2 linked regions of the Elephas maximus indicus genome follow. The protein of the gene in region 1 binds, or shares a complex with, the protein of each later gene. Links are inferred from orthologs where the notes say so. Each region holds a gene or a part of one and is shown in the gene's direction. Other genes may lie near its edges. The genes, in order: ABCC9 and KCNJ8.

Region 1 (10,833 bases):
AGTTGGTCATCAAGTGTGTGGTACAGGCCCTGTCCTATAGTCTTAGAGGAGCAAGCATGATTGGTGTAGGTACAGGCATCTGGTTGCAGCAGGGGGTCACGCTCTGAACAAGGCAGGGGGGTGACAACCATCCCCCAAGTGTCTGTGAAGAAAGCGCAACCCTGTTCCCTGCAGTGCACAGGTGGGTGGGTTCTGCAGATGGACCATGGGCAACCAGTGCTTTTGGTTGTAATGACTGGGAGGTAGCAGTTATCCTTGGACCTGTGTCATGGGTGGCTGGGTGACCTGAGTGGAGCCACCAGTCCTTAGGCCTCTGATGTGGGTAGGTGAGGATCCTGTCTAATCAGCAAAGCAGTGTCAAACATCAAACACGAACCTCTTCACTGCACAGATGAAACAGCTGCAGTTGCAGTCTGCCAACAAGGGCCTATTCTCCTGAAACAGGTCTGTGCAGGCGGAAAAGGTATTCAAAGTCCATGGACTGTTATGGCTGGACAGGAGCTGCTTCTGTTCTGAGCTCCCCAGGTTAGTGGAGCTGACAGATTATCTTTTCCCCTAATTGTGAATTTATTCCTTCTCCAAGGCAGGGAGAATGGCTCAGAATGCTCAGTGGGACCTATCTTAGGCTCAGGGAAATTGACAGCCACTGATGCTGGCTTGAGGGCTGGGGGCACAGTAAAATATATGCAAGTACTTAGCTTTTGCCAAGATCGCCATTTGTCTCTGGTTCTGGAGGTGTGAGTAGGCTGTGCAGCTGGCTGTTTCTCCCTGAGGATACTGTGGTGGAAAGCTACCACCAACCCGCCACAGTCACTCCTGGGAATGGTGCCTGAGGGTTCCCACCAAGTCAGGTCTGGCAACTCCTCTCCACTTCTGAATTGTCTCTCCCTCCCCCTGCTGCTCAACCCATTTTCTAACTTTGGCTTTGATGTTCAGGGCTCCTAGCTTGTCATAAATATAATTGTTTCACTTGTTTTTTCAGGTCTTTGTTGTAAGAGGGATCACCAGAAGCGTCTGACCACTCTCCCATCTTGGCCTCACCTCCAATGTATTCTTAATAGCAGCACAAAATATGAAAACAAAAATGAAACTCTATTACTAATTTTTACAAGAAATGTACAGACATAATACTGAGTTATAAAGAAAACTTGAATAAATGGGAAACCATATTTTTGGATGAAAAGACAGAACACTCAAAACATATTTATAAATTATTTCCTAGATTTAATGAGATTACAGTAAAATCCCCAAAACAGAATAGCTAAGAACGTTTTGAACAGAGTAAAAGGGAGACTAGCACTACCAGGTTTTAAAATATAACTTAAAGCATTGACAATCAAATTAGTCTGATCATAGGAACAGAACAGAAAAAAAATTGAAAAACAGATGAATTGACCAAAATAGTTAGCCCATACACAGATACTACTATAAAATAATTAGATATATATTATGAAAGTTGCTGGTTGTGGTGTAATTAAGAGTTCCGCTGCAAACCTAAAAGTTCAAATCTACCAGCTGCTCCTTGGAAACCCTATGGGGCAATTCTACTCTGTCCTATAATGATGCTACGAGTCGGAATTGACTTGACTACAATTTTTTTCTCTTTATAAATCAGGGAAAAAATAAATACAAAGATTATTCAGTAAATTGTGTTGGTGTAATGATAAAAATGTTAAGTTAGATTTTCATCCCATGGCATATGCCAAAACAAACTCTGGAATCAAATTTAAAAATACCTTTCAACAAATAAAAACGGAAAGCTAATATTTATAAACTGAAAAAGAATTGGAATGCATTGTGTAAATATAAAGCAACAAATCTTTGTACATAAACTTTTCCTTAGAAGGAAGCATTAAAAAGGCAGAGACTCTGGAGGTCTGTCTTATTACTGAACTCTGTGCCTGGCACGAGACCTAGCATATAGTATGTGCTCTAATAAATGTTTTATAGAATGCATAAAACAATTGGGAGCGTCACCATTTTTTTTTTAACTGATAAATCGGGAAAATATTTATCATATGTATATAAGGAAACCCTGGTGGCATAGTAATTAAGAGCTACAGCTGCTAACCAAAAAGGTCAGCAGTTTGAATCCACCAGGCGCTCCTTGGAAACCCTATGGGACAGTTCTACTCTGTCCTTTAGGGTTGCTATCAGTCTGAATAGACTCAGTGGCAATGGGTTTGGTTTTTATATGTATATAAATGAAGGTGTATTATACTTTTCTCATTAAAAGTGATACAGATGATAAACTTCATTAAGACAAATGGACAAATGTGAACAAACCTTCACCACAGATGAAATACAAAGATGAATGAAGATTTGAAAAAACGTTGAATGTCAATAACAAAGAATTGCATGTTATCTGTCATATTACAGTAATTTTGCTTTATTTTTAAATAAACCCTTGTGGTGCAGTGGTTAAGAGCTACAGCAAGAGCTACAGCAAGCTAGTTCGAATCCACCAGCTGCTCCTTGGAGCCCCAATGGGGGCAGTTCTACTCTGTCCTATAGGGTTGCCATCAGTCAGAATCCACTCAACGGCAATGGGGAGTGGATGGTTTGGGTATCAGTGAAATAGGTCATCTTACACAGTTTGGTAAGTTAATATAATTTCTTTTTAAAAAGTTAAGTGTATCTTAAATTATCTGCCACACGGGGGAAAAAAGCTTGATGTGCAAAGTCCACCGTTGGATGATATATATACATATATAAAAAAACCCAGACCCACTGCTGTCCAGTGGATTCCAACTCATAGCGACCCTATAGAACAGAGTAGAATGCCCTCATAGAGTTTCCAAGGAGCGCCTGGTGGATTCGAACTGCCAACCTCTTGGTTAGCAGCTGTAGCACTTAACCACTACATCACCAGAGTTTCCGTATATTATATATAATAGTGAAAATTTGGCAACTACATATCCAACAGTAGAAAAATGGTTTTAAATTTTTGGTATATTACACAATGGGATATTATGCAGCCATTTGAATAATATCTGTGAAGATCTAACATACCATCAGAAAATTGTTTTAAAAGATAGTATGGGGAGATAAATTATGTTGTGATTGCCAAGACTATAAAATATGCATAGAAAATATAGAAAAACGATAACTATTACTCAGAGTTTACCGAGGGCGCTCACATTGTCTCAGCACTTCACAGGCACTATCTCATTTACCATCACATCAACCCTGTAGCATATACCTTTATTTATTCCATTGAACAGATGAGGAAACTGATACACAGAAGGGTTAAGCAAATTGTACAAAGACACTGAGCTAATAAGTGGGGTAGCAGAATTTTTATCTTGCAGGCTGACTCCAGCGTCTGCACTCTTAATTATTGCACTATATCTCCTTTTTTTGTTAAAATACAACAAAAAGTTTTCCGTAGTAATCGTGACTTACTATCATTAGAATACCCAAAGTACTATGGAAAAAAAAATTCCCATCAGCTCTATTTTGTGCAGTCAAATATAGGATTTCTATCTGGGGATTATTGTCACCTTCCTCTTTCTTGTGCTCTCTCCGTAGATGCCCTGATAATCCTCTGTCCCCCCTTGTGGTTTGTTCATTCGGTCTCCAGGTCCCATGCCCAGCGCCGAACTTCCCACTCTTGAAACTAGTTCCTTTCTCCCTGCGCCTGCGTCGCGGCCAAGAGTCTCACTCAGGGTGAAGTTGCCAAGCGCTCAAAGGCCGCCAAATCTTTGTCTTATGGACCCTCCCGGTTGCCACCCTATGTGAGCTTGCAGACTCCTAGTGGTTGTAGGTTCAAGCCCCCCAGCCACGGCGGTCATTGCTCCAGGAGTGCAGCGACCTTTTCGTAAGCGAGGCGCCCGCGGAGAAACCCCCCTGCGATGCAGAAGGGGTGTCGACCTTTGCTCTCAAGGTCAGCGAGGCGGGCAGGCTGCGTTTTGCACCTCTGTGTACAGACCGTGATCCACCCAGTGTAGGGTTCAGGTCCTGGAGCGGTGCCCCCTGGGGGACGCGACGAGTCCGGGAGCACCAGTCCTGCTGGTTAGGCCAGTTGCTGAAAATAATAATTATTTCAAGCTGACTCAGAAGTAGCCCCTGAGAAAATTGAGTGCTAATTAAAGATGTTTCCTGGCTGCGGAGGCCAAAGGTTACTACTTGCAGACTGGGGGCGTTAGGATGGAGCGAGCGTATTTTAAACACGGTATCTCCTGGAGAGTTACTTCTCTGGCGGCAGGAGGAGGGGGGAACTGCGTGTGCAGCCGGTGGAACCAAAGTCCCTCTTTCGGGAAGCCTGGGTAAGGGGTAAGGGTCTCCCTTCGGTAGCGCGGCGGCTTGGGAGCAGTAACCCAGTTTTTCGGGTCTCCGGAGCGGGGGAAGGAATGTTCGGCTTGACCCTGTGTTGCTCTTGTGAGATCCTGGCAAGCGATAATTTAGCCCGGCAGCGCGTTCCTCTACTTAGCATGAGCCCTCTATTTCCACAGTGTGCCCAGGGGAGAGAAAGAAAAAAAACAAAAAAGAACAGAAAAACCGAAACCCCAAATCTGATTCCATATGTGGCTAATAAAAGCAAGTATGCAAAACATAAAGAGCCCCGGTGGTGCAGTGGTTAAAGCGCTGAGCTGCTAAACAAAAGGTCAGGGATGGGAACCCACCAGCCACTCCTCAGGGAGAAAGATGTGGCAGTCCGCTTCCTAAAGATTTACAGCCTTGGAAACCCTAGGGGGGAGTTCTGCACTGTCCTATGGGGTCACTAGGAGTAGGAATCCACTTTAAGCCATGGGAATGGAAATACAAAACATACAATACATATACATACCTATAAAGTGAGTACCTTGCGTGTTTTGACGATGAAAACCCGGCTCTGGTTAATCATTGAATCACATGTCGCAAGTGTCAGTGTCTAATGAAATTTGGGGGACGCACGTTATTTGGGTTCGTGAACTCTTTGCCTGGCGTGGCGGGAGTTTGCTGCTGAAGTGCGCCGAATGCGGGGCCGAGCGGGGGTGGGGAGGGTCTCCAGTCCCAGGCGCTGCGCGGGGCTTCTGCCCAGTTTCCTGCCTCGCTAGAGTCGCTGTGTCCGCCTCGGCCCCAGAGCCGTCAGTGTAATTGAGAAACTCGATAGGAGGCAGCAGCTGATCTCCCACCACCCTAAAAATAATCCGCCCCGGCGCCCGGCGTGCTTCGACTAGGGAAGGAAAACTCTGCCTTCGGAGTAAGTAAGTCCGTGTCTTTTACATAAATATTATTTTAAAAATTAAGAATAACTCTGAACTATCTGTTGTGATCTAACATTTCGGCAACCAAAAGCCGCAGGAGCACTCTCTCAGCGCTACGCGTTCACGATCGTTATTTCTAGAATGAAGGGACCGGGCCCCAGAACTGAGAAGACAGGATCAGATTTCCAGCCTTACTTACAAGGCTGCCGGCTTCCACATAAACCAAGTGGAAACAGAACAAGGGGTTATTATTAATTTTTTTTCTCTTAGACATTTCCTGTATTGTTCATGAAAGTAGCTTTCTATCTGCTTAATTTTTTGTAACGCTTTGCTTTTTTAGGAGCTCTGGGTCCACGTTTGAAATATACGTCCTAAAACAGTGTAGGAAGCCTGTGTTTTGAAGGTAGCAAAGTACACGCCTAGGGGTTTCAGGCAGCGTCAAGCGATTGCCCGTGGTATTTATGTTTTGCTTTGCTTAGTTTGGGATTTAAAAAATTCCCGTTGCAGTGTCTGTCCAAGGGATCTTATCTGCTGAGTAGTTCCAACATTTCCTTTGGTGTGCATAGAACTTCACAGCCACGGAAGAGTGAATGGGTGGATTCAAATTAGCAGTAAATCAGAAGTCAGTGGTCATTTTTACTAATACTTTTCTTATGTGGACCTGCTACAGATGGGTGGATGAATAGATGAGTGGATGGATAGATGATAGACAGATATCCACTAGTTCATATTTTATGAACTGTGGGCCGATGGCTCTTCCAAAGAAGCTATTAAACCATTTGTGCTTGCAAGTGGTCACCATCCTAAAAAATGCTCTAGGTACTGATAAAGCACTGAGTAAATCCTTCATAATGTCGTGTTTCTCTCTCATAGCATGAATTTGGTTAATTTAATAAGTAAAGAATGAATGATTTCACATGTAAGAAAAGCTTTTACATTGCCTTTAGCACGTTTTCTTCAGGTGTTTCCAAGCTTTTTAGGTTCTCTGAGATTAGTATTCCATGAGAATTGTCACTGGCTGCTGAGTGAAAGAATGCTAGTTTTCACCTATTTTATTTACAGTTCTACTACCAGAGAAGAGGGCTGACAAAAATAAGTGATGTATCTGATGTACTTGAACACTTTGACCATATTTTTAGAATTAAATCTGACCATTATTGTTCCTCCCTTATGGAGGAGCCAGCAGAGCTGAGAAGCCAATTACTCATCAACTAGACCCAAAATTTATAAATCCTAGGGGCTGTGGAACCTCGTACGATGCGTCTCAAGGAATAAGAATACTAAGGTTGGTATTCTTGCCATAAAATCAAGTGCTTGGTTTCAGAGTATTTTTGTTTTATGTCTTTGCTCTGCAGACCACTCCTGTAATAAAAGTGTCATTTTTATCTTTGTCTTTATAGTCCATTCGGTCAAGTTCTCCAATCCTGTAGACTGTCATAAACACCTAAATGTCTTGGTTTATGCTTTCCGAGAAGAAAAAAGTCATGGCCTCTCTTCCTCTCCCTCCCCCTTGCTGTTTGGGCCTCTGTCAGTGCTTAGCTGATCCAGACAGCTCCCGAAGGGGTGTGGCTGAACGATGTCAAGTGACAGAGTTTAGCTTACAGTAGCAGCAATTTATAACCTTCCCAAAAAAGCATTATTAACTTAACATGGACTCTGGGAGAGAAACACTGAATGGCAGTCGGAGATTTAAGAATTAGTTAGAAATCCTGACTGAATAAAAGACCTTCGGTAAACACAGAGAATTATCAACACATATGCAATAAGTTTATTCCTTCCCTCTTTTTGTTTCCGCTGGGTTGTAATGTAGTGTAGCTGTTAGAAGGTGCCACACACACTGGGTGTTGGAGAAGGAAGCTAAGGTTCAAGGGGAAGAGGATGGAAGAGGAGGAGGCAGAGGAAAAGCAAAAGGGGAGATGTGGTGAGAGGAAGCCGACAGGTTGGGACCCATTGCCCATTGCCGTCGAGTCAATTCCGACTCATAGCGACCCTATAGACAGAGTAGAACTGCCCCATAGAGTTTCCAAGGAGCCCCTGGTAGATTCAAACCGCTGACCTTTTGATTAGCAGCTGTAGCACTTAACTACTATGCCACCAGGTTGGGAGCCTGGGGGAAATGTGAGGTTAGAGATTGTGGGAGAAGGAAGAAATCAATCTAAAACTTTGAGGTAGACCCCTTGGTGTGATTATATTGTCTATTTGAGTGTGTGTGTGTATATATATATATATATGGAAAGGTATATATATGTAAGTGTATGTGTGTGTATGTATATATATTTACATTATACCAAGAATTGTTGTAACTAGTGTGGTCTCATGCACTAATGGATTGCCAATGCCTAGCACATGGTCAACACCCAATAAGTATTTTCATAATTAATTAATGGCCTAGAATCCCAGACATCTGGTATATGGCTGAAAATGTCCCTAAACTTTTTCAGGTGTTGTACTTCTCTGAAAGTGTCTTTCCACAGCTACAGAACATTTACTCAAATGTTATTTAATGGTAGTTTTTAGGTGTGATTAAAATACTAGGCAGGTAATGTTTATAGGTAATGGGGAATGTATTATGCAAATTCAGGGCATTCTTTATCATTGGCTCACTGATAATGATTAAAAATCAAGGTTTAGAAATACGGTCATTTGGAGTATTATAATTTTAGATAAAAGTAACTAAAGTAAAAATTATTGTCGGTTCATACTTGGAAACAGTTTATATATGTCTTTCACTTAAGAGTGTGTTTAAATTTTCCCTTTATCATTTCTACTAAATAAAGGAAGTAGTCTGAAAAATTTCATTACTAGGAATTATTTTTTTGTTGCTATTTTTTCCATCTTTACCAGAAATGCATCTAACATGCAAATATTTATTCATAACTTGTATTTTACTGTTTTTTTTTATCTCAAGTCTTTTCTAATTATTTTATCCACCTTAGGACTTCAGTAGTTTGTAAATACTTACCAAATATATAACCTCATACTGAGTTTTTTGTTTAACTGTAACTTTGTTTTTTAAATGAGACATGGTCTCAATTAGAAAGCATAACAAAAATGATTTCTCAATAAAAGGGTTTATCAGAAATACTATGTGAGAGAGATTCAGGGTAAAACTATACTTAAACAGTTGTCTAACTAGTTCTATTCATATGTTTTATTAAACCTTCACTTAACATTTAATTTCTCTAATAGTTTACCTACTACTGCCAGTCTTCTGTGTGTAACACTCTTTGTTGTTGTTTCTTCTAGGAAAAATATTTTTCATGACCATTGCTAAATCTGTTATCAATGAAAGAGAAGAGAGAAAAGGTACTATGTTAATTAATCAAACCTTTGCCAACTTTTAATAATCTAACTCAGAATCTAGTGTGCCATAAATATGGAAAAGAAACAAAGTCCAGTGACGTTAAAATCTTAAGCTGGTACTTATTTTAATAGAAGTAGAGAAGACATTTTCTTAAAAAAATAGGCCGGAGGTGTTGTGATACAGTGGAGAGAACATAGTATACAGTCAGACACTTTGTGGGTGTGGATCCTGGCTTGTCTACTGGCTGGCGAATTACTGAACCTATGTGAACCTCAGCATCCTTCTCTGTAAGATGAGAATTACATTATTCATCTTGCATAGTGGTTCTGAGAATGTAAGATGATGTATACAAAGTGCCCAGAATTTCATAGGTGCTGAATAAATGATTGCTCTTCTGTGCTGTCGAGTTGATTCCTACTCATAGCGACCCTATAAGACAGAGTAGGAAGGCTGTAATTTTTACTGAAGCAGACTGCCACATCTTTCTTCTGTGGAGCAGCTGTGGGCTTGGACTGCTGACCATTCAGTTAACAGCCGAGTGCTTAATCACTGTGCCACCAAGCCTCCTATTTAAATAAATGATAAGCATTATTATAAAAGAAGTTTTCAGAAGGCTAAAACTTCTGCTGGAGTGTCACATTAGAATTTTTTTTTTTCAGTTGTGCTTTAGGTCAAAGTGAAAAAGTTAACAGCTCAAGTTAATTTCTCATTAAAAAATTTATACACATATTGTTTTGTGACATTGGTTGCAATCCTCACAATGTCACAGCATGCTCCCCCTTCCTACCCCATGTTCCCTGTCTCCATTCATTTGGTTCCTGTCCCTTCCTGCCTTCTCATCCTGCTTTTGGACAGGAGCTGCTCATTTGGTCTCATATATTTGATCAAACTAAGAAGCATGTTCCTCACATGTTTTTTGTTTTATAGGCCTGTCTAATCTTTGTCTGAAAAGTGGGCTTCAGGAATGGTTTCAGTTCTGGGTTAGCAGAGCATCTGGGGCCATAGTTTCAGGGATTCCTCCAGTTTGGCAGACCTCAACTCCTCTATCATATGTCTCAGCACAGCAATGAGGAATCCATTTAAAATGTACGTTAGAGTATGTCACTTCTCTGCTCAAAACCCCTCAGTGACTCCTCATTTCACTCAGAGTAAAGCCAACATCTCAGAAATGGCCTTCAAAGCCCTGCATCATTTTGCCCTCTGTTAACCTCTCTCACCTCATCTACTTCAATCAAAAGACATCCTTCTGAACATATTGATCAAAGATTCTAAAGAAGATTCCTAATCAAAAGGGGGAAAATGCAGAACAGAATCCAAATTCCTGATGGAGTCCACACTTTCTGGAGCTACTGAAGCTGGAGGAACCCCTGAAACTATTGCTTTGAGATAATCTTGAAACTTTAAAACTTAAGCCAAAACTATCCCCTGAAGTCTTCTTTGAACCAAAAAATAGCTTATCTAAATTAGTAAAGTATGTCTGCTTTGAGCATTGTACCCTTAAAGAACTATCTATATGAGTTCAAATGGACAATGACAACTTTAAAGATTGCATGGGAAGTTTAGGGTGTAGGGAGTTTAAGAAAGTGGTCGGGGAGTCATTGGAAAAGGACAGCGACAATGATAGCACAACTTTAAGAATATGTCACTGAACTGTACATGTAGAAATTATTGAAATGGTCTATCTTTGGCTTGTATGCTTTCACCAAAATGAAAAAATAAAAAAAGAGATGCCCTTCATTTGAAAATTTGAGTGCATTTCATATAAGAATATTCTGTATGTGACTTGAGTAGTTTCATTGATTTTTCGCTTGGGTTATATTTAATCTGTCTTTAGCTCTTGGTTTTAAGGTTCTTCAGAGAAAAACTACTGTTTGCAGCCACTTTGGTCTCTGTGTATTAATATTTCCAGCAATTAATACAGTTTTCAGTAAATTGTATCCAGCTAAAGTTGTTTGTTAATGCATTTTCAATGACTGAACATGGGAAAGGATTTGCTATTACACTGTTTTGACTTTTTAATCATTGGTGTAATTTCTCTCCTTTTTCTTGATGTGTCCTCACTTTTGTTCTTTGAAATTATTTTAGTCAACTACTCTTCTGAATGACCGCTGTGTGTAGGTATTAATTACTTTGCATTTTTAAAGTTAAAATAAAAATTTTTCTTCAAAAAAAAAAAAAAAAAACTATGGAAAAGAGAACCTTAGAGAAAGTAGAAGGCCTTATAAGAAACTCTTAAATTACTTTGGTATAGATTTGCCTACTTCTTCAACTATAAAAATAAGCAGTGCTAACTGTATGTTATAATTTTATGAAAGAGTTTAAGAATAAAAAGCTCTTTTC
Region 2 (10,833 bases), about 170 kb from region 1:
TTCATAGTGAACTACAGATTTCAAGTTGTCTATGTGGGTTGTGAGAAATGGCTGCAAAAATCATGAAGGGAGAAGAGATGAGAGTTGGAGTAAATGCATGAAAAAGAGAAACACTGTTGCAAGCACTATTACTTCTTTCTTTCATTGGACAAGTATTTACTGAGTATGTGCTACCAGGAACAATTCTAGACACTGGGTGTGTGGTGGTAACAAACAATTTGTCCTCACAGAGCTCCCACCCAGTGCAGACAGCTAGTTAAGGGAAAAATACACAATGTTGGTTAAGGAAAAATGTCAGAAAAGAAATGGAAGGAGAAAAGAAATGGAAAATTTGTGATATTTCAATTCTTTATCATTTTTCTCAATGACCATTATTTGTTTTTAGTCATTCTATTGTCAAATAATTCACTTATTCACTTCTTAAAATTTCACCTTTATTATGTGTATTCTTAATACCCTTATTCTGAATATATAATTAATTTAAATTAATTATTTAATCAACTTAAAGGAGAATGAGGCTTTTCCATTTAAATCGATACATATCTTTAAAAATATATATATAATATGATATACTAAAAAATAGATCATAGCTTGCCATATCAAAACAAGTCAAAAGTTGACTTGAAATTGCATATTTGGAAGAATATATCTCATTAGAAAAAAATGAGTCTTAAATATGTATAATCACAAAAGAACAGAATTTTCATATAATGTAGATATAGATTTATTTGTTGCAATTTTACTCGTAAATTCTCCTCAGCAGCTCATCTCCCTAAGTTTAATTTTCCTGCTATTTTTCTGCCACCATCATAAATACCTTAGTCACTTCTGACTTTTCCCTTTTCCAGTACTGACTGTGCAACATTCCTTTTGTATATACTTGCATATTGCCCACTGCCATTACCTATTGGCACCAGAACTCGTTCCCTTTCTAATGAATGTAATGGTTTCTGGTGTTCCCCCCTGCCAATCATTTTGGAGCTCCAAGAGACTCAGAAGTTTAACTTTCAAATCCATCCTACTCTCTGCTTCAGGATCAATCTTCCTGAAAAAAAAAAAAAAAACCCAAACCATACCTGTTGCCATCAAGTCGATTCTGACTCATAGTGACCCTACAGGACAGAGTAGAACTGCCCCCATAGAGTTTCCAAGGAGCGCCTGGTGGATTGAAACTGCCAACATTTTGGCTAGCAGCCTTAGCACTTAACCACTTCATCACCGGGGTTTCCAATTCTCCAACAGGTGGTCCTTTTTGTGTAGCTCTCTGATCAAAATCTTTCCTACCATCTTCAGAAGGCTTACCACTTCCTACTGAAGACAGTCCAGACTCCTTTGATGAGCATTTTCTATGACTTTCTATGCATTTTTTTCAAGACTCCAACATGCTTCCTCAAGCCTTATATTTTCCATTTATTGATTCAAAAATATTTTTTGAACACCTCTGTAATTCAAGCTCTGTTAGAGGCTTAGGATACAAAGGTGAACAGCTCACAACTCTGCCCTTTAGCAGTTCTCAGTTCTGTGAAGGGGAAAGACAAGTATATGAACAACCCGGAGGCTCTAGGTGGTGAAAATGGTTAACTGCACTCTGCTGCTAACTGAAAGGTTGGAGGTTCGAGTCCACGCAAACACACCTTGGAAGAAAGGCATGGTGATCTACTTCCAAAAAATCAGCCATTGAAAACCCTATGGATCATATTCTACTCTGGCCCACGTGCGGTTGCCATAAGTCAGAATCACTCGCTGGCAACTGGTACGAATAATCACTACGTGGTGAGAGAGAGGCTGCCCAGGGGACATTGGAATTAAGAGCCCCATCCTGCTATCTCGCTGACTTTGCTTCATCAGTGCTGATTAAATTAGTTTCTGTTACGAAAACATGGCTCACTGTTGCCAGTACTCCATGTCTTTCTTCAGGCTGTTCCTGCTCTGTGGAATGTCTTTTTTTCCATTTTTGTGCAGGCCCCAAATATATTAGGTCTTTCAAAGACTAGATCAGATGTCAAATAATCCAGGAAGCTCTCCTTAGTTCCCTAGTCTTTATCTCTTGTTTATTTCCTTTCCCTTTCTAATCACATTGTTATTTATATTAGAGTTTATCAATGTTTTATCTCTCTTATTATGCTTGTCTAACCTCTTAAGAGCAGCAACTGTGATTTATATATTTATATATTCCTAGATACATGAACCTAAAAAAATGTGATAACTTTCACAAAATAGATGTTCAGTGAATGTTCCCTGAGCTAAAATAATAGACAATAAATTGTATACCAAACTCAATTGTAATATAGAACAATGATTGGACCGACTATTCAAATTGGTCCCCACAGACTTGTTATAAAACTAACTGCATAAGTTATCACATAGATTAACATCAGTAGAGAGGAGAGCTGCCACTAACAGACTAGACCCCAGGCTTGAAGGGGTTAAGCAAATCTATCCACAAAGAGGAAAAACGTTCCTTTGCCTTCATTAAAGACTAATTTTAGGTCTTTTAGTAATTAGATGAACACATTGTTTATTCTCCATACACTTTCGGCCTCGAGTCTTGGAAAATACATAAAATTTCCAAGAATTAAAGTTTCCATTAACACAAGTGCCAAAATCACAAGGCTTGACCTGTGGGAGAGAAAGCACATTTGTCTTTGCTGGCTCCTTCTCAAAAAGCTATAGAAGGATATTTACCGTATAACCTTCCTTGTGCGTAATTGCTGTTTTATCATTCAGACCATCTAGACAAGACTGAGAAGCTGCAACATTTTAGAAAACAAAGAATTACTGAGCAATGACCGTTTGCGTGCTAAAGCGTTGACAATTGTCCCTGTTTGGGGTAAAATTTCTTCACTGGAACAGACTGGGAATATTTTGCTATTTTGTTTTGGTTTGTTTTCTGTGTGCGTGTTACTGAAAACTGGCTTCGGCTGCTGAAGCAGTAATTTCCGATAGTGGGTTTCAGAACATCTTCCACCTGTATGTCACGACTACAGGGAAATTTAATGTACATCAATGCGTGTACACGCAGCTTGAACACCTCCGAAGAATATTTTCTGACCTCTCTATTTGGTTTTATTCAATCTGAAACAACCCAGTTGTCTGTCCAGGTTACAAAAAATAAATAAATAATAAAATACGGAATAAATTCTCCTTACGTCAGTGAACTTGGACTCAAAAAGTTCTCTCCCCAAGCAGGGAGCCTTTTAAAGATGTGTGTGTCAGCCGGCGGCAGGGGGTCGCAGCTACTGGGAAAAGAGCTGGCTCTGCGGGTCCCGCCCTCCCCCAGGGTCGCCCCTCCCCCTGGCCGGCTCCCTACCTCCCCAGGACGCGCCTTTTGCCTCCTCCCTGCACGCCCCAACCTCGGGCACTGCGGCGGCCTCAGAGGCCTGGCGCAAGTCAAAGCCAAAACCGGGAGGCCGATTTGTGGAACAACGTCCCCAAGCTCCTCTCCCCCCAAGCCCCTCCTTCGCCCACTGTATCTGCCAAGAGAGTCAAGCTGAGCAGGGGGAGGGGAAGATCTACACCCATCCCCCTCCCCCCAGCCCTCGGGGCAGTTAGATTCAATTACACCTTTTACTATTTTATCTCTTCTCTTTAGACCACTCGGCCCCCGGATCTGTCCTTTCGCCTTTCGCGGCCCCTGCTCCCGCGCGCCGGGATGGGAGAGCAAGGGACCTGCCGGCGGTCGGCCGGCGTGTGTGTGAAGGTCCAGCCGCCGCGCCCGCTGCCCGGAGTCTGTAAGTTTCAATGCTCCTCCGGGAGAGGGGAGGGTGAGGCTTTCCACATTCCCGCAAATGATTTAAAATGCAAAACACAGCATAGGTTTGCAGTGTTGGATGGATTTTTCAAACATTCTACTATGTGTCTGCAGCTTGTAGGCTCTTGTGGGTGTGATCCCTTCGTTGTAAAGAAGTTTTCAAGTTATAATATTAGGAGTTTCATGGGATACTTTTTTGTCTTTTTTTTTTTTATGCAACTCAGACTTCCTTCAGATTTAAAATAATTATTCATAACGTTCAAGTTACATAGCACATCGTTTATTATTTTGTCAGATTACACTAAACATGTTATTTACACTGCGCAAGAGTCCACGGCCTTTTCTTTGCCTACTTCTAAAAATAACGGAGAGAGAATTTCCCTTCAGTACTTTTAATATTGCTGTATCATCTGAATGCTTTAATAAATAGATCCTACTGCACTCTGGCCTTAAATTTTCATCCTTGACACTTCGAGCTGGTATCCTTGCCCTAATCTACAGATGTGGTTAACTCAGAGAATTATCACTGAGCCTGCTGTTTACATGAAAGCTCCTGGTTTTGTTTAACTACGGCTACATGTGTGGAAAATGAAAAGGAAAATTAAATCAGTTTACCGATTCAGACTAAGTAACAATTTCTCTGGGATCCCAGAACTCAAGCAAAAGCCAGACCCGTGTTTAGATTAATTAAGTCACACTTTTAGCTTTGCATGCCACCTTGTATGTATAGATATGCCCCTGAATACAAGACTGAAGAAGTGAGGAAATGATTTTATACCTCTGTCTATAAAAACGTCTATATTATTATTATTGTATCATTATTTTAATTATCGTTTCCCTTGTGCAGGAGGACGGGTCTTGGAAGGAGGCAGGTCAGAGGCAGGTGGATAGGCTGGCTATGGTGGCAGGACGATGTTGGCCAGAAAGAGCATCATCCCCGAAGAGTATGTGCTGGCGCGCATCGCCGCGGAGAACCTGCGGAAGCCGCGCATCCGAGACCGACTCCCCAAAGCCCGCTTCATCGCCAAGAGCGGGGCCTGCAACCTGGCTCACAAGAACATTCGCGAGCAAGGACGCTTCCTTCAGGACATCTTTACCACCTTGGTGGACCTGAAATGGCGCCACACGCTGGTCATCTTTACCATGTCTTTCCTCTGCAGCTGGCTGCTCTTCGCCATCATGTGGTGGCTGGTGGCCTTTGCCCATGGGGACATCTATGCTTACATGGAGAAAAGTGGAATGGAGAAAAGTGGTTTGGAGTCCACTGTGTGTGTGACTAATGTCAGGTAAGAATGCAGTAGGACTGCACGTAGCATAGTCAAAATATTATATTGCCTTTCTTCTATCACTCTCTTATTGAAAGTGAAATAAAAGGTTTGCTTTAGAAACAAACAAAACAAATAGTAAGAATAATCTAAGATGTTATAAATCTTTTAAAATGCAGCATTATGGCTAATGAGTCTCAAAGTGTGGAACTTCAAGCCCTTGGATTTGAAAATTTTACACCAGTTACTTAAAAATTGTTGTGGTTCAAAAAAATTACACAGAGCACTTACACACACACACGACCTACACGTTTAGTTTTCAGCATAAAAAACTGCTGTCTATAATTCCAATGTCTACAAATAAATATTTCTGATCAACAAAAATTATTATGCAGATGCTGGTAATATTTTTCCCTGGTGTCTCTTATCCATTACATTTTCAGAAATAGTGAGAAAAAGGAGATGGCACTGGTCGGACAGGGTCCTAGATTAAAAATCTACTAAAAATGAAATAAATATAAAGGATATAAACCCTGCTTTATTATGATTATCTTAACAGCTAATTCCTTGCACTGGATTCTGAAATTAAAAGTTATGTTAAGATTCAGAACTAGAAAAAAAAATTTTTTAATGGAAATTGGTCCAAAATTTTCATGGAAGGGATAATATAGAAGTGAGTTGATGTTGGACTCTTTCTTTCAAAGACTTAACAGAAAAAGGAGGGAACAGTTCTTAAACTACTTTACGTTTGCTTTTTCTCTTACTAGTATTTCAAAGACAGGTAAACTGAATTTGTTTCCAGTGAATCTCTTTTCATATTTTAAGATGATCTAAGAATATTTGGCTGGAGTGATCTGTATCTTAATTTATTTTGTTGGAATACTGAAAAAGATAATTTATATCTATTGCAAAAACATTTACTCTGAAGCAAAACAATAGTAATAATAATGGAAAAATTTCCAGGACATTTTCTGAATTATGTGCCAAATTCACATAGTGCACAAAGAAAAGAAACTTGAACAAGAACCATACTGCCAGGAAACTGTAAAGAATGAATGCTTTACTGACCGTGGAATCTTATAAAGCTAGCATACCGCTGCAAGAACCAGAAACCCAGGCTATGACCTTGTCCATGCTCCCATTTCCTAAGTAACTGCAGTGCCAGCATCCCATAGAGGAAAGCAACATTTGTATGTAGAGAGAGGACACCACAGATTTCAGGAGGAGAGAATACCAGATTGACTTGATCAACTTACTGCCTTTACCATTGAGTAAATATTATTTTCTTTTCAACACAAACTTTTGTTTCAAAGGAAAATGTAGGTGATCATCCCAACATCAGTTACCAAGAAAACCATTAAAATACTGTACGAAACAGGTATTTGAAGGTCAAATATCATTTTCTATAATATTTCTCTTTAGGATACTTACTGACACTGGGATTGGTGAATCATTTTCATATCAAGAGAAATTGTTGGTAAATATGCAGTAAACTTATTGCCGTCAAGTCAAATCCAACTTGTAGACACCTAAGAGGACAGAGTAGAACTGCCCCATAAGGTTTTCAAAGAACAGCTGGTAGATTCGAACTGCCGACCTTTTTGGTTAGCAACTGAGCTCTTAACCACCAGGGCTCCAAATATGCAGTAGCCACTCTGTAAAAAGAGATAAAAGAAACTAAAAAGATAATCGTTGAAGATAAATGACAGATTTTATTCACAAGACAAATATATTGCCTTTTTCCTTGAAAATGAAGTCATTAAGCAGTTTATTAAATACGTAAGAATAATATTCTTCCAATAATTTTTTAAAAGAACTTTAGAGTGTCTTCTGGTTATTAAAAGCCATTAGCTCTTATTTTTCAAATAAGATGTGACCTGAAGCATGTTTATTCAATCCCCAGATGCACTCCTGCTTATGTGAACATTAACTATGATAAATGCTGAAAATAAATAGCACAGCAATTTTAGCATTTTAAATTGCAGCTCCTTCCTACAAAAAAATTATTTGCTACCTTTAAAACAAAACAAAACAAAAACTCACCGCCATTGAGTAGATTCTGACTCACAGCAACCCTATAGGACAGAATAGAACTACCCCATAGGGTTTCCAAGGAGCACTTGGTAGATTCAAACTCCTGGCCTTTTTGGTTAGCAGCTGAGCTCTTAACCACTTCTCCACCAGGTCCCCTTGCTCTCTTTAAAGTTGTTCTATTCAGGTCCCCTTGCTCTCTTTAAAGTTGTTCTATTCTTACTGATTTTATTTCAATATTGTGGTACTATTGATACTTCAGAAACCCTGGTGGTGTAGTGTTTAAGAGTTAGGGCAGTTAACCAAAAGTTTGGCAGTTTTAATCCACCAGGTGCTTCTTGGAAATTCTATGGGGCAATTCTACTCTGTCCTATAGAGTCACTATGAGTTGGAATCGACTAGAAGGTAACCGGTTTGATTTGGTTTGGTTTATTGATACTTTGGAGCCCCGGTGGCACACTGGTTAGGAGCTTGGCTGCTAACCAAAAGGTCAGCAGTTTGAATCCACCAGCCACCCTTGGAAACCCTATGGGGCAGCTCTACTTTGTCCTGTAGGGTCTCTATGAGTCAGAATCGACTGGATGGCACCTAACAACAACATTGATACTTTAATCTCAACATACAGTTTAATCACAAGAAACCTTACCAAAAAAAAGTCACCAAAAATATAGAAACAGAAAAGTCTCTGTGCCCTCCCAAAAGGAATTTAAAATATGGCTAAAAATGATTCGTTAAATTTCCTTTCCTAAATTCAATGTCCCGCCACTTCATCAAGAGAAACAACTTTTTAAAGTAGATACTCACCAACATTTCCAAACAACATTCTACACTCTCGTTTTACAGTGGCTATCTTTCCCCTGAGTGTAGGTGACTCTCAGAGTCAGAAAGTAAAGCAGCATTGTTTCCCCTCTCTCATTATGATTCAGCCTCACTCTCTGTACCAGAACAAAAGAAGAGCTAAACACTTTCATCTGTTGGCATTGCTTAGTATGATACTCACCAACTGCCGTTGAGTCAATTCCGACTCATAGCGACCCTGTAGGACAGAATAGAACTGCCCCATAGGGCTTCCAGGGCTATAAATATTTACAGAACCAGATTGCCACATCTTTGTCCCAAAGAGCGGCTGGTGGGTTCGAACTTCTGAACTTTCAGTTCTCAGCTGAGTGCTTTAACCACTGCGCCACCAGGGCTCCTTTTAGAAATCAGTGTGTCTGTGCCCTTCCTCTGGAGTCCGTTCCTATTCTTTGCCATAGTTTTGCACCATGTGGCATACCTTGTTTTAAATAGCTAGTGCAAGTAGCAAGTAATGTGGTTTCCTATAAATCCTTAATTCAAGAAAGAAAGAGAAAAGGCAACTTTCACACTCCACTTAAAGGCTAATCAAAACAGTCATTTATGCCTGCTCCCTTACCCCCTCCTGGCATCCCAGCAAGGTGCGTTGTGTATATTAAGTATTCAAATGTTTTAAAATTTTGCTCACTCATTGTGTGTGACATTAAGGAATGCTGTCATTTGATGAAACTTTGACAGATGGCCTATGCATAGCTTGTCTTAGAGAAGTTTGAAATTGTGGTTTGGGGAGGAAGGCAGGACTAATATTGTTTCTATTAAGAAGCTGTGGCAGTGTTTGGAATGTAGGAAGTGAACAAATGAATGATAAGGATAATGAAAATGCCACTCAAAAGGGTGGGGTGGGGTGAGACTGAATCAGAATCACCTGAGAGCTTTCCAAAGAGTCTTACCCAGTTCCAACCTTGACCCTACCAAGCCAGTGTCTGCACTGAGATGTGGAGGAGGTGTGCGTTCTAATAAAGCTCCCCAAGGAAATTCTGACACTTATTGGCCTTTCCCATTTCCACTTTCAGAGCACTTGGCCAGAATTCAGAAGATTCAAGTTCTTATTCAAGATATGATGCTGACATTGACGTAGACATTTGCCAATCTCTGCCTCAGATTCTTCCTTTAGTAACTTCAGTAACCGTTAGATCACATAGAAGACACATTAGATAAGAAAACACCTTTCTTTCCTAATGGCAAGATATTCCTTATTATTAAAAATACTAGTACTTTTGAATGATGGGTTTTGTGCCACTTTGTAGCACTGTGCCTTGTCTGTATGAAGTACACAGTATTAGTAAATGAACCTGATGTTAAAGGTTATAAATAGTGAATAGCTCACTCACTGTTCTACTTTCAATATGACTCCGTCAAACACAAATATTCAAGAGTAAGTGCTTGTTAAAAATATTGTTTGGTAAAGTCTCTATGTTACGAACTGTGCCTTGTCTGTATAAAGTATACAATAAGTATTAGCAAATGAACATGATTTTAAAAGTACAAAGAGTTAAAAGCTCATGCATTGTTCTACTTTCAATATGACTCGAGTTACTTAAACACAAATATTCAAGAGTAAAATCAAACCAAAACCAAACCCGTTGCCGTCGAGTTGATTCCAACTCCTAGTGACCCTATAGGACAGAGTAGAACTGCCCCATAGAGTTTCCAAGTAGCGCCTGGCGGATTCGAACTGCTGACCATTTAGTTAGCAGCTGTAGCTCTTAACCACTATGCCACCAGGGTTTACATTTAAGAGTAAAAAAACCAAACCAAAGCCGTTGCCATCGAATCAATACTGACTCATAGCGACCCTATAGGACAGAGTAGAGCTTCTTCCTTGGGTTTCAAAGGAGAACCTGGTGGATTTGAACCACCAACCTTTTGGTTAGCAGCCATAGCTCTTAACCATTACACCACCAGGGTTTCCACCATTCAAGAGTAAGTGCTTGTTAAAAATATTGTTCGGTAAGTCTCTATGGTACGGACTTTAATTTAGATTAACAAATAATTTTCAATCTGATGATGTGTCAGTTCTTCATGAAATAGACATTGTTTACTTTGTGAAACTGTCTACCAGGAAGATGCTTATTATTTTATCATATTAATGCTTTTGCACAAGGAGGCTGATCATTTAATGACCTAGAAAACACTAACAGAATTGTATCCTAGACAGCTGGAGATAGTGTGCATACAGAAACAACGACAACAAAAAGAGCTTGTGCTTAGAGTTGGGCATCTGGCAAGTCGACTAGTATTTCCAAAAGCATTTGATGACTTTTGAGGGAAGAAAGTGAAAAATTCAGCTCGATATGCTATTTATTACTCAGAATTTGATCTAATGGCATTGTTTTCTGATACCATTCCTTGCAGATCTTTCACCTCTGCTTTTCTCTTCTCCATTGAGGTTCAAGTGACAATTGGATTTGGAGGGAGAATGATGACAGAGGAATGCCCTCTGGCCATCACAGTTTTGATTCTCCAGAACATTGTAGGTTTAATCATCAATGCAGTTATGTTGGGCTGCATTTTCATGAAAACAGCTCAGGCTCACAGAAGGGCGGAGACTTTGATTTTCAGCCGCCATGCTGTGATTGCCGTCCGAAATGGCAAGCTGTGCTTCATGTTCCGAGTGGGTGACCTAAGGAAAAGCATGATCATTAGCGCCTCAGTACGCATCCAGGTGGTCAGGAAAACAACCACACCTGAAGGGGAGGTGGTGCCCATTCACCAACTGGACATTCCTGTCGATAATCCTATTGAGAGTAATAACATTTTTCTGGTGGCCCCTTTGATCATCTCTCATGTGATTGACAAACGTAGCCCCCTGTATGATATCTCAGCAACTGACCTCGTCAACCAAGACCTGGAGGTCATAGTCATTCTGGAAGGAGTGGTCGAAACTACTGGCATTACAACACAAGCACGAACCTCCTACATCGCTGAGGA

The links.
Region 2: the proteins of ABCC9 (region 1) and KCNJ8 are in contact, whole or in part, in a cryo-EM structure (PDB 7MIT), measured with the Rattus norvegicus proteins. The link is inferred for Elephas maximus indicus from reciprocal best matches to the Homo sapiens genes ABCC9 and KCNJ8. Residues at the interface, in XP_038963045.1 of Rattus norvegicus: Phe5, Ile10, Tyr13, Asn14, Ile15, Val19, Asn22, Cys24, Phe25, Ala28, Leu29, Val32, Val35, Phe36, Phe39, Phe42, Pro43, Ile44, Phe46, Ile47, Gly48, Trp49, Gly50, Ser51, Lys55, Gln57, Ile58, Asn129, Phe130, Lys132; in NP_058795.3 of Rattus norvegicus: Met1, Leu2, Lys5, Ile7, Ile8, Pro9, Glu11, Tyr12, Val13, Leu14, Ala15, Arg16, Ile17, Ala19, Glu20, Asn21, Leu22, Leu45, Ala46, His47, Lys48, Asn49, Gly54, Arg55, Phe56, Leu57, Asp59, Ile60, Thr62, Thr63.

What each region holds. Positions count from the first base shown.
Region 1 is NC_064822.1:80,544,517-80,555,349, reverse strand, and holds the start of ABCC9 (ATP-binding cassette sub-family C member 9), read left to right. Parts: upstream 1-4,111; 5' UTR 4,112-4,268; intron 4,269-4,637; exon of another isoform or gene 4,638-5,189; intron 5,190-6,251; exon of another isoform or gene 6,252-7,128; intron 7,129-8,435; 5' UTR 8,436-8,495; intron 8,496-10,833. UniProt on the Homo sapiens protein: Subunit of ATP-sensitive potassium channels (KATP). Can form cardiac and smooth muscle-type KATP channels with KCNJ11. KCNJ11 forms the channel pore while ABCC9 is required for activation and regulation.
Region 2 is NC_064822.1:80,373,498-80,384,330, reverse strand, and holds the start of KCNJ8 (ATP-sensitive inward rectifier potassium channel 8), read left to right. Parts: upstream 1-3,292; 5' UTR 3,293-3,731; intron 3,732-4,598; 5' UTR 4,599-4,663; coding exon 4,664-5,037; intron 5,038-10,257; coding exon 10,258-10,833. UniProt on the Homo sapiens protein: Inward rectifier potassium channels are characterized by a greater tendency to allow potassium to flow into the cell rather than out of it.